3 linked regions of the Canis lupus familiaris genome follow. The protein of the gene in region 3 binds, or shares a complex with, the protein of the main gene of each other region. Links are inferred from orthologs where the notes say so. Each region holds a gene or a part of one and is shown on either strand. Other genes may lie near its edges.

Region 1 (3,747 bases), on a different chromosome or scaffold from region 3:
CCGCCGCGGGGACGCCGGGCGCGGGCAGCTTCCCGGGCGGCCAAGCAGACGCGCGGCCTGTTACATAACGACCCGCTCGGCTCCGCGGCCGCCCGCTCCGCGGCCTCCCCGGGCCCCCCGGGCCCCGCCCCCGCCCCCGCCCCGATCCCCGGTCCCCGCCCGGCCCCGGCCCCGGCCCCCCCCGCCGCCCCGGGCCGCCCGCCCGCCCGCCCGCCCCGCCGCCCGCGGACAATGCGCCTCCCGCCGCGGCCGCCAACATGGCGCCGGCCCCCCCGGCCCCCGCCCGGCCCGGCCCGGCCCGCCGCCCCCCCGCCCACTCACCGTCGGGGCCGCGGCGCGGGAGCCCGGGGGGCGCGGAGGCCGGCGCGGCCCAGGCGGCGCTAATGGCGCCCGCGGCTCCCCCGCCAACGGCCGCGCAGGCCCGGGCCGCTCTCCGGGCGCGGGGTGCGGGGGCGGCCGCCGGGGCGGGCGGGGCGGGGGGCGCGGGCGGCGGGCGCGGGCGGGCGGGGGCGCGGGGGTCGGACGCCCGGGCCGGCGCGGCGCTCGCTCCCCAGCGAAGCAAACAATGCGGCGAGCGCTCCGCCCGGCGCCCTGCGTGACGGACGCGCCCCGCCCGCCGCCGCCGTGACGCACGCCGCCGGGGAGGGGCGGGGCGGGGGGCGGAGCCGGGGACGGAGGGGCGGGGGGGGAGGGGGAGGGGGAGCGGGAGAACCGGAGGGGAGGGGAGGAGGGGAGGAGCCCGCGACGGAAGGGCGGGGGGGGGGGGGGAGGGAGGGGCCGGGGACGGAGGGAGACGGAAGGACGGCAGAGGAGGGGGGGGGGGGGGGGGGGGGGGGGGGGGGGGAGGGGAGGGGCCAGGGGACGGAGGCGGGAGAGGGACAGGACCTGGGCAGAGCGGACAGAGGGGACGGGGAGGATGGAGGGAAACGTGGCTGGAGGGGGGACGGAGGGGAGGGGGAGGGGGGCCGGAGGAGGGGGGTGACGGACGGGGAGGGACCAGGGGTCGCAGTGGGGGGACGGAGGGAGGGAAACAAGACCGGGACGCGGGGGGCGGAGTGGCGGGGAAGGGGGGGATGGAGGGGGAAGGGGGGGAGGGGAAAGGGGAGGAGGGGGACGGAGGGGGACGGGAGGGCCAGGGGACAGAGGGGGAGGGGGCGGAGGGACGAAGGGACGGAGGGGGCAGGACTGGACCCCTGGGCTGAGGGGGGCCAAGGGAGAGGACACGGAGGGGGGAGGTAGGGGCCTGAGGGAGGAACGGGACCCTGGGCCAGGCAGGGAGGGGGCGGCTGGCCTGGATGAGGGGGAGGACGGGACCCTGAGGAGGGGCCTGGACCCTGGGGGCGGAGTGGAGCCAGGAGCCTGGAGGGGAGGACGTGACCGTAGGGGGCACCAGGGAGGAGGGAGGGGTGACCGGACTGAGGCCGGGGTCCCTGGGCGGGGCCAGAGAGGGCAAGGACCGAGGGGCGCCAGCGGGAGGGGGTCTAACCGCAGGGGACAGGACACAGGGCAGGGGACCAAGGCCACAGACTGGAGGCGCCGCGGGGCAGGTGACTCCGGGGCGTCTAGGGCGGAGCCGAGCTGGTCCCCTGGTTTCCGGAGGCTTCGCGGGCTCGGTGTCCATGAGGACGGCTGGGGCCCCCGGCTGCAGGAGCCGCCCCTCGCCTCCGCCCCGGGTTCTCCCAGGGAGACATCTCCTCACCAGGGCACGCAGAGCCGAGTCCACCGCCTGGGACCGTGCTGCGGAGGCCTCCCTTGGAGTGTCCCGGGTGGGAGCCCCCCCAGCCCTCTGCCCACGGCGCTTGTGCCTCACGGCACCCAGCCGATGGATGAGAAGTGAAGGCTTGGAGGGTGGGCGAGGGTGGCAGCCAAGGCTCCCCTCGAAGCTGCTGCCCCTGCAGATACATCGTTGGGCCAGGGCAGGGCTGGCCAGGTGCTGGGGCACCAAGCATGTGGGGACCAGCGCCAGGAGCTGCAGGTGCCCCCCTGCTTTACAGAGGCCTGCTGATCTGACGCCAGACTTGCCAGGACGCCCAGGGGTGGAGGACGACGGAGCCAGGCGCAGCCCTGTGTCCTCGACCTTGGGCCAGCCAGGGGCACACCCACCCGCCCCAGCAGGTTACAACCCAGAGCCCGAGTAGGAGGAGATGAGAACCAGGAAGCCTCTTCACACACCTGGAGACGGAGAATGGCTTCCCAGGTGGCAAGGCATGCCCGGGAGAGAAGAACAAATTCATGTCAGAGTGACGTTCCCAAATTCCAGGGATAAAGAGACCACCTCCAAAAGCTTCCAAGGAGAAGGATATTGTTTGGTCACACTGAGCCTGATTGCCACTCGGCAAGGAAGCGGTTGTCAAAATTCTAAGAATTGAACCGAGAATTCCCTGTATGACGAAACTCGTTGGTGAGACAGCAAAATAAGGGTGTCTCCACAGTCAGTAAACATCCAAGTTTACCAAGTTACGCACAAAGTCTCTAAAAAAAAAAAATGCTGGAAGATAGACTCCAGCAAAATGAAGAGTATGTCCAAGAGTAAGACATGGATGCCAGCAGAGAAAATCAAATAACAACTTGAGAGAAAATCCCAGCTGAGCCCCACACAGCATACGGTGAGGGGCGATGACAGCGCAAGTTCTCGTATTGTTGGAGGACTTCAGAGTTGGTAGAAAGAAGTTGGGAAACTGAAATGAAGAAAGATTGGCGGTAGCAACAAAAAGCAGAAAAAGATAAATGCTTGGTAAGTAAGGAATATGATATAAAATGACAGGAAGAAATTCAAGTATTCCAGGAATCACAAACATGACTAAATTAATCCATTAAAAGATAGAGACTCTCAGACATATATCATTAGGTACTATTTACAAAAAAAAAATAGTCTAAAAATGTCACAGAGAGATTGAAAATAAAAGGATGGACAAAGTGTGTACCATACAACTTTCATTCTTCGGTAGACTGTAAAGAGAATGGACAAAAAATTAAAAACCGGAAAATAGTCGAACAGGTATACCTTGCAAATGATTAGTGTCCAGAATCCTTTCAAATCCATCAGAAAAAAAAAAAGCCAATAGAATGACACACAAAATCCATAACCAGTCTCCTTGAGGGGAAGAACATGAAAGGGCCAGTAACCGCATTTGTAATTTTGGGGATGCAAACAAATCACACCAAATGAGCACAAATGTGAAAGTCCAACCCAGTGATGACGGGAAGGTGGATCAACTGAGATACGCGCACGCTGTGTACATGGCACAACTGTGTCGGTAAATAACAAGACACGACCCAACAAAGCTGCATGTGGTACCGGTTACGTGTTCCCGCCTAACAAACCAGCTGCAAGACTGTCGCTCAAAATGATAATTGTTCCTTCTGCACACGGAGCTGCCGTGTGCAGAAGGAAACCATAGGCAGGGTTCAGCAGGTGCGGCCTGTCTAGTCCCCGCTGCAGCCCCTGGGATGTCCCTATGCGGGCTGGAGGGCGCACTCCAAGGTGGTGCACTCGGGTGGCCGGTAGGCCGGTTCCAGCTGGGGACGGAGTGGGACCGTGTCCCGAGTCCCGAGAGAACCAGGAGGGACCTGTATCACTTCTCCCATAGTAGCCAGAAGTCACCTAGTGTCCCTTGGGCCCGAGCCTGTCCAGATTCCAGAGATGAGACAGTGCCCTCTGCCCTCGGTGGAGTGTCAAAGCCACATTTTAAGAGGAAGGAACGTGCTATGGAAGAAGCCGTGGCCACTTGGGGAAAATGCAAGCTG
Region 2 (3,647 bases), on a different chromosome or scaffold from region 3:
GCTTTGCCACCAACCTCTGTGTTAAATGAGGTACAGGGAGGTTACAAATGTCACTGAATACGACTGTCATTGCAGCCAAGCTCTCCATGTTTAGGGCACTGTAATTATGCTCACCTGTCTCTCTCACCAAGTGGGCAGCACACCTTATAGGCAGGGATTTTGTCTTGCTGACTGCTCTACTTCCTAGCTCGCTTCTTAGTCCACAGTAGGTCTTCAACAAATATTAGTAAAGAGACAGAACCTATATCTCCTAACTATTGGCTAAGGGTTTGTTTAACCTTGGAATTAAACGTTTTCTGGAAACTAGGATTAGGTCTTATCCTACTGATTTCTAAATGAATTTGATGATTACGGAATAATTTCATGGTTTTCACTAATGGCCCTTAATATCTGTCTGACACCTAGATTATCTGCCCTACACCTGCAAGTCCCCCAACTCTACCTTGGGATTTCTTGCCTCATGAGTCAACACTGAAATGGGCCATGTTGTATCAGGGTTGGACTTGAGCAAATGAGATATTTGACAAGAATGTTACAAGATTTTTAAGTAAAACAACTGCCATAAAATTAAAATTGTTAAAATAGGATATAACCAGTCTATATTAGGACATCTTTAATATAAAGTTACCTGCAGCCATTTCCTGGTTAGCAAGCTGGACTTGCAAACCGAAGATCTGTTCCTGTAGTTTGTTTTGTGATAATTTCAGTTTCTCTCGTCTGCTTATCATGTAACACAGATTTCGGACCTGAAAGCCCAACATACAGCAAATAGAGATTTTTGCCATGTTACAGAAACCTGACAATTGAAATTTTTTAGCTAAAATTAAGACAACTAAAATTAAGTGAGGTACAGGGGTGGCTGAAGAGAGAAGACAGAACACAAAAGACAGAGCCACTGTAAAGGAATTCATGTAGCACGATCAGTCGTGGGATCATGGTTCCCATATCAATCAGCAGCACAAGCAAAACGCTCCTAAGCCACTCCCTGAAACCTACTCTCCCTGCAGTGTGATGCGCTCAATGTTTATCTGCACAGCCAACTGAGGAAGACCGAGTGATGGTTTAACACTGTGGCCTTCCCTTTAGATCCCTGTATAAAACAATGGGGATGCTGGATCCAGTATAATTTTCTTTTTTTATTTTAAATATTTTATTTATTTATTTATGAGAGTACAGAGAGAGAGAGAGAGAGAGAGAGAGAGAGAGAGAGAGGTGGAAACACAGGCAGAGGGAGAAGCAGGCTCCATGCAGGGAGCCTGACGTGGGACTCGATCCCGGGACTCCAGGATTGCACCCTGGGCCAAAGGCAGGCGCTAAACCGCTGAGCCACCCAGGGATCCCCCCAGTACAATTTTCTAATGAGTACTGGACCAGCAGGATAAAAGTCTGCTGGAAAGACTGAAAGTGGCTTTTTTGTTTACACCTCTAGCTTGGCCAAATCTCAGCCACAAGGGTGCAATCCTCATGCTCCCATACTCCCCATCCCACCTCGACAAATCACCCCACCTTTCTGTGCCCCAGTTTATTGCTCTGTAAAAAGGGCTAAACAATAGTACTTTCTTCACAGACATGTTAGGATTAAATGAGTGAATATTTATGAAATGCTTAGAACAGTGCTGCCACATAGTAAGTGCTATAGATGTGTGAGTTAAATTTTACAAAGTGAGCCAAATCTATTCCCTTCCAAATTCTGGTAGCAGAGAGAAAAACAAGCCATCTCTATAATTATACTTGATTATAAAATTATCTAGGGTAAACACAGGGCCTAACTTATCTTTAAATAAGTGAGTTAAACGGACTTATCTGGTGTAGAGTCTTTTAACCAGAGGCGATTTTGACCTCCCAGGAGGCATTTGGTAATGTGGAACCATTTTTGGTTGTCACAGTGGGTATGTTGTATGTGTGTGTGTGGGTATTTGCTATTGGGTAGAGGCCAGGGATGCTGCTAAGCATCTAACAGTATCCCCCACAACAAAGGACAGTCCCCTACAACAAAGAACTATCCAGCCAGAATGTCAGCAGTGCCAAGTTTAAGAAACTCTGATCTAGTTCTTTCCTCAATGAAATTCATTCTTTCTTCAGCCCATAGTCTTATGTGTCAGTAAAATATAGCTGAGCCAATTTAGGCTCAACGGTGAATAAAAAGTAAGCCAAATGAAAATTTCTTTCAGATTTAAGGCTCATATAGCATATAAACGAGGGCCCTCCAAGTCCCTTGAAAGTGCCTGGCAAAGTTTGCCTGGGTGGCTCAGGGGTTGGGCATCTGCCTTCAGCTCGGGGTGTGATCCCGGAGTTCCAGGATCAAGTCCCACATCAGGTTTCCTGCATGGAGCCTGCTTTTCCCTCTGCCTGTGTCTCTGCCTCTCTCTTTCTGTGTCTCTCATGAATAAATAAATAAAATCTTAAAAAAAAAAGACAGAAAGTGCCTGCCAAAAATGTAAACAGAGTCTAACGTTTGGGGCCACGGTGTAATCAGAAGATAAGTAAGGACACAGAAGCCCACAGTATAAATGAGCTGACCTTTAGAAAATGACAAACTGGAAGCAGGGCCTCCATTTTTATGCAGACCTAGACCTAAACAGTAGCCAGAGCTGATCACCTTACCCTCTCTAGGTCTTGCCGTAGATGCATAAACATTCTCATGCGAGTGTGAATACTCTCTTCTTTTGGCTGCACCAGGCCATTTTCTTCATCCTGCTTTGGAGGAAATAATGGCTTGTTGAAGTTACTTTTCCGCTTCAGTTTCCAGTAGTTATAGATAAAGTCCACGGCTAGTGTTGGCAGCCCCAGCTCTGCAGCCACATCTTCAACGCGGACCAGGGAATAGAACTCCTCCTCCAGCTCCCGAAGCTTCTGTGCCCGCAGGCTGGTTTTCTCATTTTTGGCCTGACTCTGCTCTGCGGCCCTGTGTAGGGGGTACTCAGCCTCCCCGAGTTTCTGCCTATTTTGGCTGTGCTTGAGGCAGTATGACTTGAACTTCACTTCATCTCCCTCATCTAGGATGGTCTTCATCTCTAGGCTGTGCTCAAAGGCACAGGTGACATGGAAGGCAGTGATGCAGCTTTTCACAGAGCACTGTAGGAAGAAAAGAGGTGTTAAAGGCAGCAGGGCTGGAGGGTGGGGAGGAGGAGGGAAACCTTATATCCCTGGGCTTAAATTGAGAGGTCACAGGAAGCAAAGGAAAGCCAGGGAGAAAACTGGCCCTAAAATGACAACAGATACTTTACAAATAACCCAGAAATCTGTTTGTATAGAACACAGAAAGAACAGAGGCAAAAAATATATATATATATTTCAAACTTCTTTAAGATTTTAGCTCAAGCATTAAGTTTTTCTGGGAAATCTTCCCTGCCCTTTGTGAAGAGTCATGCTATACCTTGTGTCCCCCACATCACCTTATTATATGCTTCTATAGTGGTACTTTTCACACTGTACTTAACAGTATAGTAAATGTCAAATCCCTGGCTAGAGCTCTTAAAGACAGAAGCTGTGTCATTCAAATTTGCATTGGCATCAACTTTTGAATAAGCAGATGCTCAAGAAATGCTTTTTTAAAAAAATGCTTCTAAATAAACAAAAAACCCAACAAAGTCAATATTATTGCCAGAGCATCTAGTGGTTCTAAAAAGGCCACAGGATCTCCAATT
Region 3 (3,647 bases):
AAGCCCGGGTGGCTCAGTAGTTTAGCACTGCCTTCGGGCCCAGGGTGTGATCCTGGAGACCCGGGATCGAGTTCCACATTGGGCTCCTTGCGTGGAGCCTGCTTCTCCCTCTGCCTGTGTTCTCTGCCCCTTCCCTCCGTCCCCTGTGTGTCTCTCATAAATAAATAAAATCTTAAAAAAGGAGTGAAGGCTACACCTTTCAGGTGTTAAAGCCCCATTTACTCTGCTAAGCCTCAAGAGACATTCAGCACTGAGCCAGCAGCTGACCAAAACTTTACCTGTCTCTTTAGAACTAGATGTTTTCCTTTCCAGTACTTGAGCATCTGAAGGGCTTGCAGAGTACTGACAATGTCCACAGGATTCACAGCTGTCTCCTGGCTAATTTCTGAAATAGAAGCACTCCTAAGAACTGGGCCAAAGTGCAGACACCCACCCCCACCAGCCCCCCACCCTGCTTTAAAGGAAACCCAGATGGTTGGGATTTCTGATACTCAACCCAACTTGTTCAGAAAAAGTTTATGAAGCATTTATTTGATCGGTCCTAATAACTATGAAAGAGAACTACTACAGGAAGAAATCACCCTGGCCCCTAGAGATCATGGTCAGAGACAGGACAGACCTGATTTCTTCTACCCTTCCATAAACATACAGATGTCATACCAGCTCCTCTGTTAGCCAAGACTTAGAAAAAAGGGAACATTTTTCTTTTATCTTGACTTTAATTCTTAACAAAAGTGTTAACTACCCCAGGTTTGTGAAACCAAAATCATATAGCCATTACCAAAGGGCCAAATGCTCTGGAATCCTTAGACAACTTTCATGAGATCTCTGTAGTGGCCCACATCCAGGGGGCCTTCTCTTTGCAATGAAGAAACTGGAATGTTTCCTGGCATTAACTTCTTGGGTACCAGCTATCCTAAAGAGCCAAAAACCAACCTTTGATAGAAATCTCTTTGCCTTGGAAATTATGCAGGTAACGGAGAAGCACTTCTTTCCAGTAACTGCGATAGCTTATGAGCCCCAGGTCAGAGAGGGGACGCTCCGGGGAGCCAACTTTTTCTTCCACTTTGGAAAGCAAGTAACCTACAGGGGAACAAAATGCAGACACTGTATTTCATTCTAATAACAAACACCATGGTGTCAACATGGAAGGCTTGAGAAGGACAGGCTGCTTCATGGTACCAATTAGGCATCAGATATTCAATGAAATATGGGGTGGCTGCTGTACAGTGTGCTGCCTTGTGATAAACCACAGGGGAAGAATGGTGTGTTTGCATTTAGTTGTATTAGTCATTAAGAAAACTCTGCAAGGTTCCACGAGATAGAAACTTTAATAACAATGGTAATCTGTAGGTGCAAACTAGGAATAGAAATGGGAAGCCATTTCATTACATCGCTTTTTCTATTTGAGACTTTTAAGTTTTTATAGATTATTATCTCAATGCTGGATCTCACAAAGCCTCTGGTTCTAACATTTGAATGTTAAACATGATGGGGATGCAATCTGAAAAATCCACTCTGCAAAACTAACCTGCTTTCAACAAATAGGTTAGAATTACAAGAGTTGGAGTGAGAACTTTCAGATTAAAAGTAATTTATAATTCACAACTATCAATTCCAACGTGAATTCCATTTGGAATTAAGTAAGAATAATTGCATGTGGGGAGGCTTGGGTGGCTTAGCAGTTGAGTGTCTGCCTTTGGCTCAGGGCATGATCTCGGAGTCCCAGGATGGAGTCCCACATCAGGCTCCGTGCAGTCTGCTTCTCCCTCTGCCTATGTCTGCCTCCCTCTCTCTGACTCTCATGAATAAATAAAATCTTAAAAAAAAAAAAAAAAGAATAATTGCATGTGTTTTCTTTAAAAGGAATAAAAATCACAAAATCAGGGAAATCTGAATACTGTAACTTAAAGTATTAAGGAATTTGGATTTTTTTAAAGATTTTATTTATTTATTCATTAGAGACACAGAGAGAGAGAGACAGAGACAGAGACATAGGAAGAAGGAGAAGCAGGCTCCATGCAGCCTGACATGGGACTCAACCCTGGGTCTCTAGGATTCAGGCCTCTGGCTGAAGGCAGCACTAAACCACTGAGCCAACCTGGGCTGCCCAATTTGGTTTTTTAAGACATGAAATAGAGCTTATCTTTTAGAGATGTCTAAGTAATTGAGCTTGAGAATAGAGGTGTAACAAGACTGGCCATGAGATGCTAATCACACTTACAGGGAGTTTTATTATCCAGCTCTTCTTTAAGCTTTATTTTAGGGACATTTTCAAACATATGAGCCCAGGTGGCTCAGTGGTTTAGCGCCACCTTCAGCCCAGGGCCTGATCCTGGAGACCCAGGATCAAGTACCATGTCGGGCTCCCTTCTTGGAGCCTGCTTCTCACCCTGCCTGTGTCTCTGCTTCTCTCTCTGTGTGTCTCTCATGAATAAATAAATAAAATCTTTTTAAAAATTAAAAAAACCTTCATTTTATGGACATTTTCAAACATTTATAAATGTTCCCAAACATGTCCATGAAATGAAATGAAAAAGTCCATGAAATGAAGTTTATAAAAAAAGTATTAACACCTATTCCAAAATACACAAGATATAGTTACCCATCCCCCCATGGATTATGCCATTTCCTGATTTCACCACTTCCCAGGGGGTATAAACATACAATTGGAAGGCTAACTCTAAGAATTGTAATTCTGACTAAAATGTCGTATGACAGTGAACAACGAATAAGATATAGTTGATTCTCATCATTTATAGTAGTTATGTTCTGCAAAGTCACTGCAAGCACTGAATTAGCAAACATGAAACATGCTCCTAGTGGAAACAGGGTTAGGTTTCTCAAAGTCTCTGGTCATATTTACAACCCATCATTATGGTCATCTCATTTTATGTGTTTGTTTACTAATACGTTTTAAAAAATACATTGTTGACTCATTAGCATCAAACTCCAGCCCAACACCAATGCTTGAATGAACCCTATCTAATACCAGTGTTTTCTCTGTAAGGCACTCAACAACAGCCTTTGTAGATGGCTTTTCTCAGCCCTACACCTAGGGGCAATTTAAAATCAGCAACCAGGGGGTGCCTGGGCAGCTGAATGGCTGAGCATCTACCTTCAGCTCAGGGTGTGATCCCAGGGTCCTCGATTGATCAAGTTTCACATCAGGCTCCCTCCCTGTAGGAAGTCTGTTTCTTCCTCTGCCTATGGCCCCCGCCCATTTCCCATGAATAAAATCTTGGGGGAAAAAAAAAGTCAGCAACAAGGATGCTTCCGTGGCTCAGTCAGGCTAGGCATCTACCTTCAGCTCAGATCATGATCCCAGGGTCCTGGGATTGAGTCCCAGGTCAGGCTTCCTACTCAGGAGCCTGCTTCTCTCTTTCCCTTTGCTCCCCTCCCCCTTGGACTCACACTCTTTGTGTCTCTCTCAAATAAATAAAATCTTTTTTAAAACTAAAATCAGCAACAATATGCACAAAAATATGAAAAGTATGGCAATAATGGACCGATTGACTGCAAAAGTGCCAAAGAATATTGATTTGGGGATTAAAAATAAATTTGAGGGGATCTCTGGGTGGCTCAGCAGTTTAGCGCCTGCCCTCAGCCCAGGGCATGATCCTGGAGTCCTGAGATCAAGTCCCACA

Evidence for each region.
Region 1: the proteins of KAT7 (region 3) and BRD1 are in contact, whole or in part, in a crystal structure (PDB 5GK9), measured with the Homo sapiens proteins. The link is inferred for Canis lupus familiaris from reciprocal best matches to the Homo sapiens genes KAT7 and BRD1. Residues at the interface, in NP_008998.1 of Homo sapiens: Leu531, Phe534, Gly536, Lys537, Glu538, Ile539, Ser540, Ile541, Lys542, Pro552, Val553, Val556, Gln560, Leu565, Tyr567, Lys571, His572, Leu573, Val574, Leu575, Lys576; in XP_047297239.1 of Homo sapiens: Val40, Ile42, Glu43, Ile44, His49, Arg50, Ile51, Ser52, Ile53, Phe54, Asp55, Pro56, Leu57, Glu58, Ile59, Ile60, Leu61.
Region 2: KAT7 (region 3) and JADE3 share a complex: the UniProt entries of both Homo sapiens proteins name them as parts of the HBO1 complex. The link is inferred for Canis lupus familiaris from reciprocal best matches to the Homo sapiens genes KAT7 and JADE3.

The regions. Positions count from the first base shown.
Region 1 is NC_049231.1:18,266,956-18,270,702, reverse strand, and holds the start of BRD1 (bromodomain-containing protein 1), read right to left. Parts: upstream 2,281-3,747; 5' UTR 2,210-2,280; coding exon 2,173-2,209; intron 376-2,172; exon of another isoform or gene 322-375; intron 1-321. UniProt on the Homo sapiens protein: Scaffold subunit of various histone acetyltransferase (HAT) complexes, such as the MOZ/MORF and HBO1 complexes, that acts as a regulator of hematopoiesis.
Region 2 is NC_049260.1:40,877,416-40,881,062, reverse strand, and holds part of JADE3 (protein Jade-3), read right to left. Parts: intron 3,076-3,647; coding exon 2,605-3,075; intron 747-2,604; coding exon 629-746; intron 1-628. UniProt on the Homo sapiens protein: Scaffold subunit of some HBO1 complexes, which have a histone H4 acetyltransferase activity.
Region 3 is NC_049230.1:25,820,170-25,823,816, reverse strand, and holds part of KAT7 (histone acetyltransferase KAT7), read right to left. Parts: intron 1,084-3,647; coding exon 937-1,083; intron 386-936; coding exon 279-385; intron 1-278. UniProt on the Homo sapiens protein: Catalytic subunit of histone acetyltransferase HBO1 complexes, which specifically mediate acetylation of histone H3 at 'Lys-14' (H3K14ac), thereby regulating various processes, such as gene transcription, protein ubiquitination, immune regulation, stem cell pluripotent and self-renewal maintenance and embryonic development.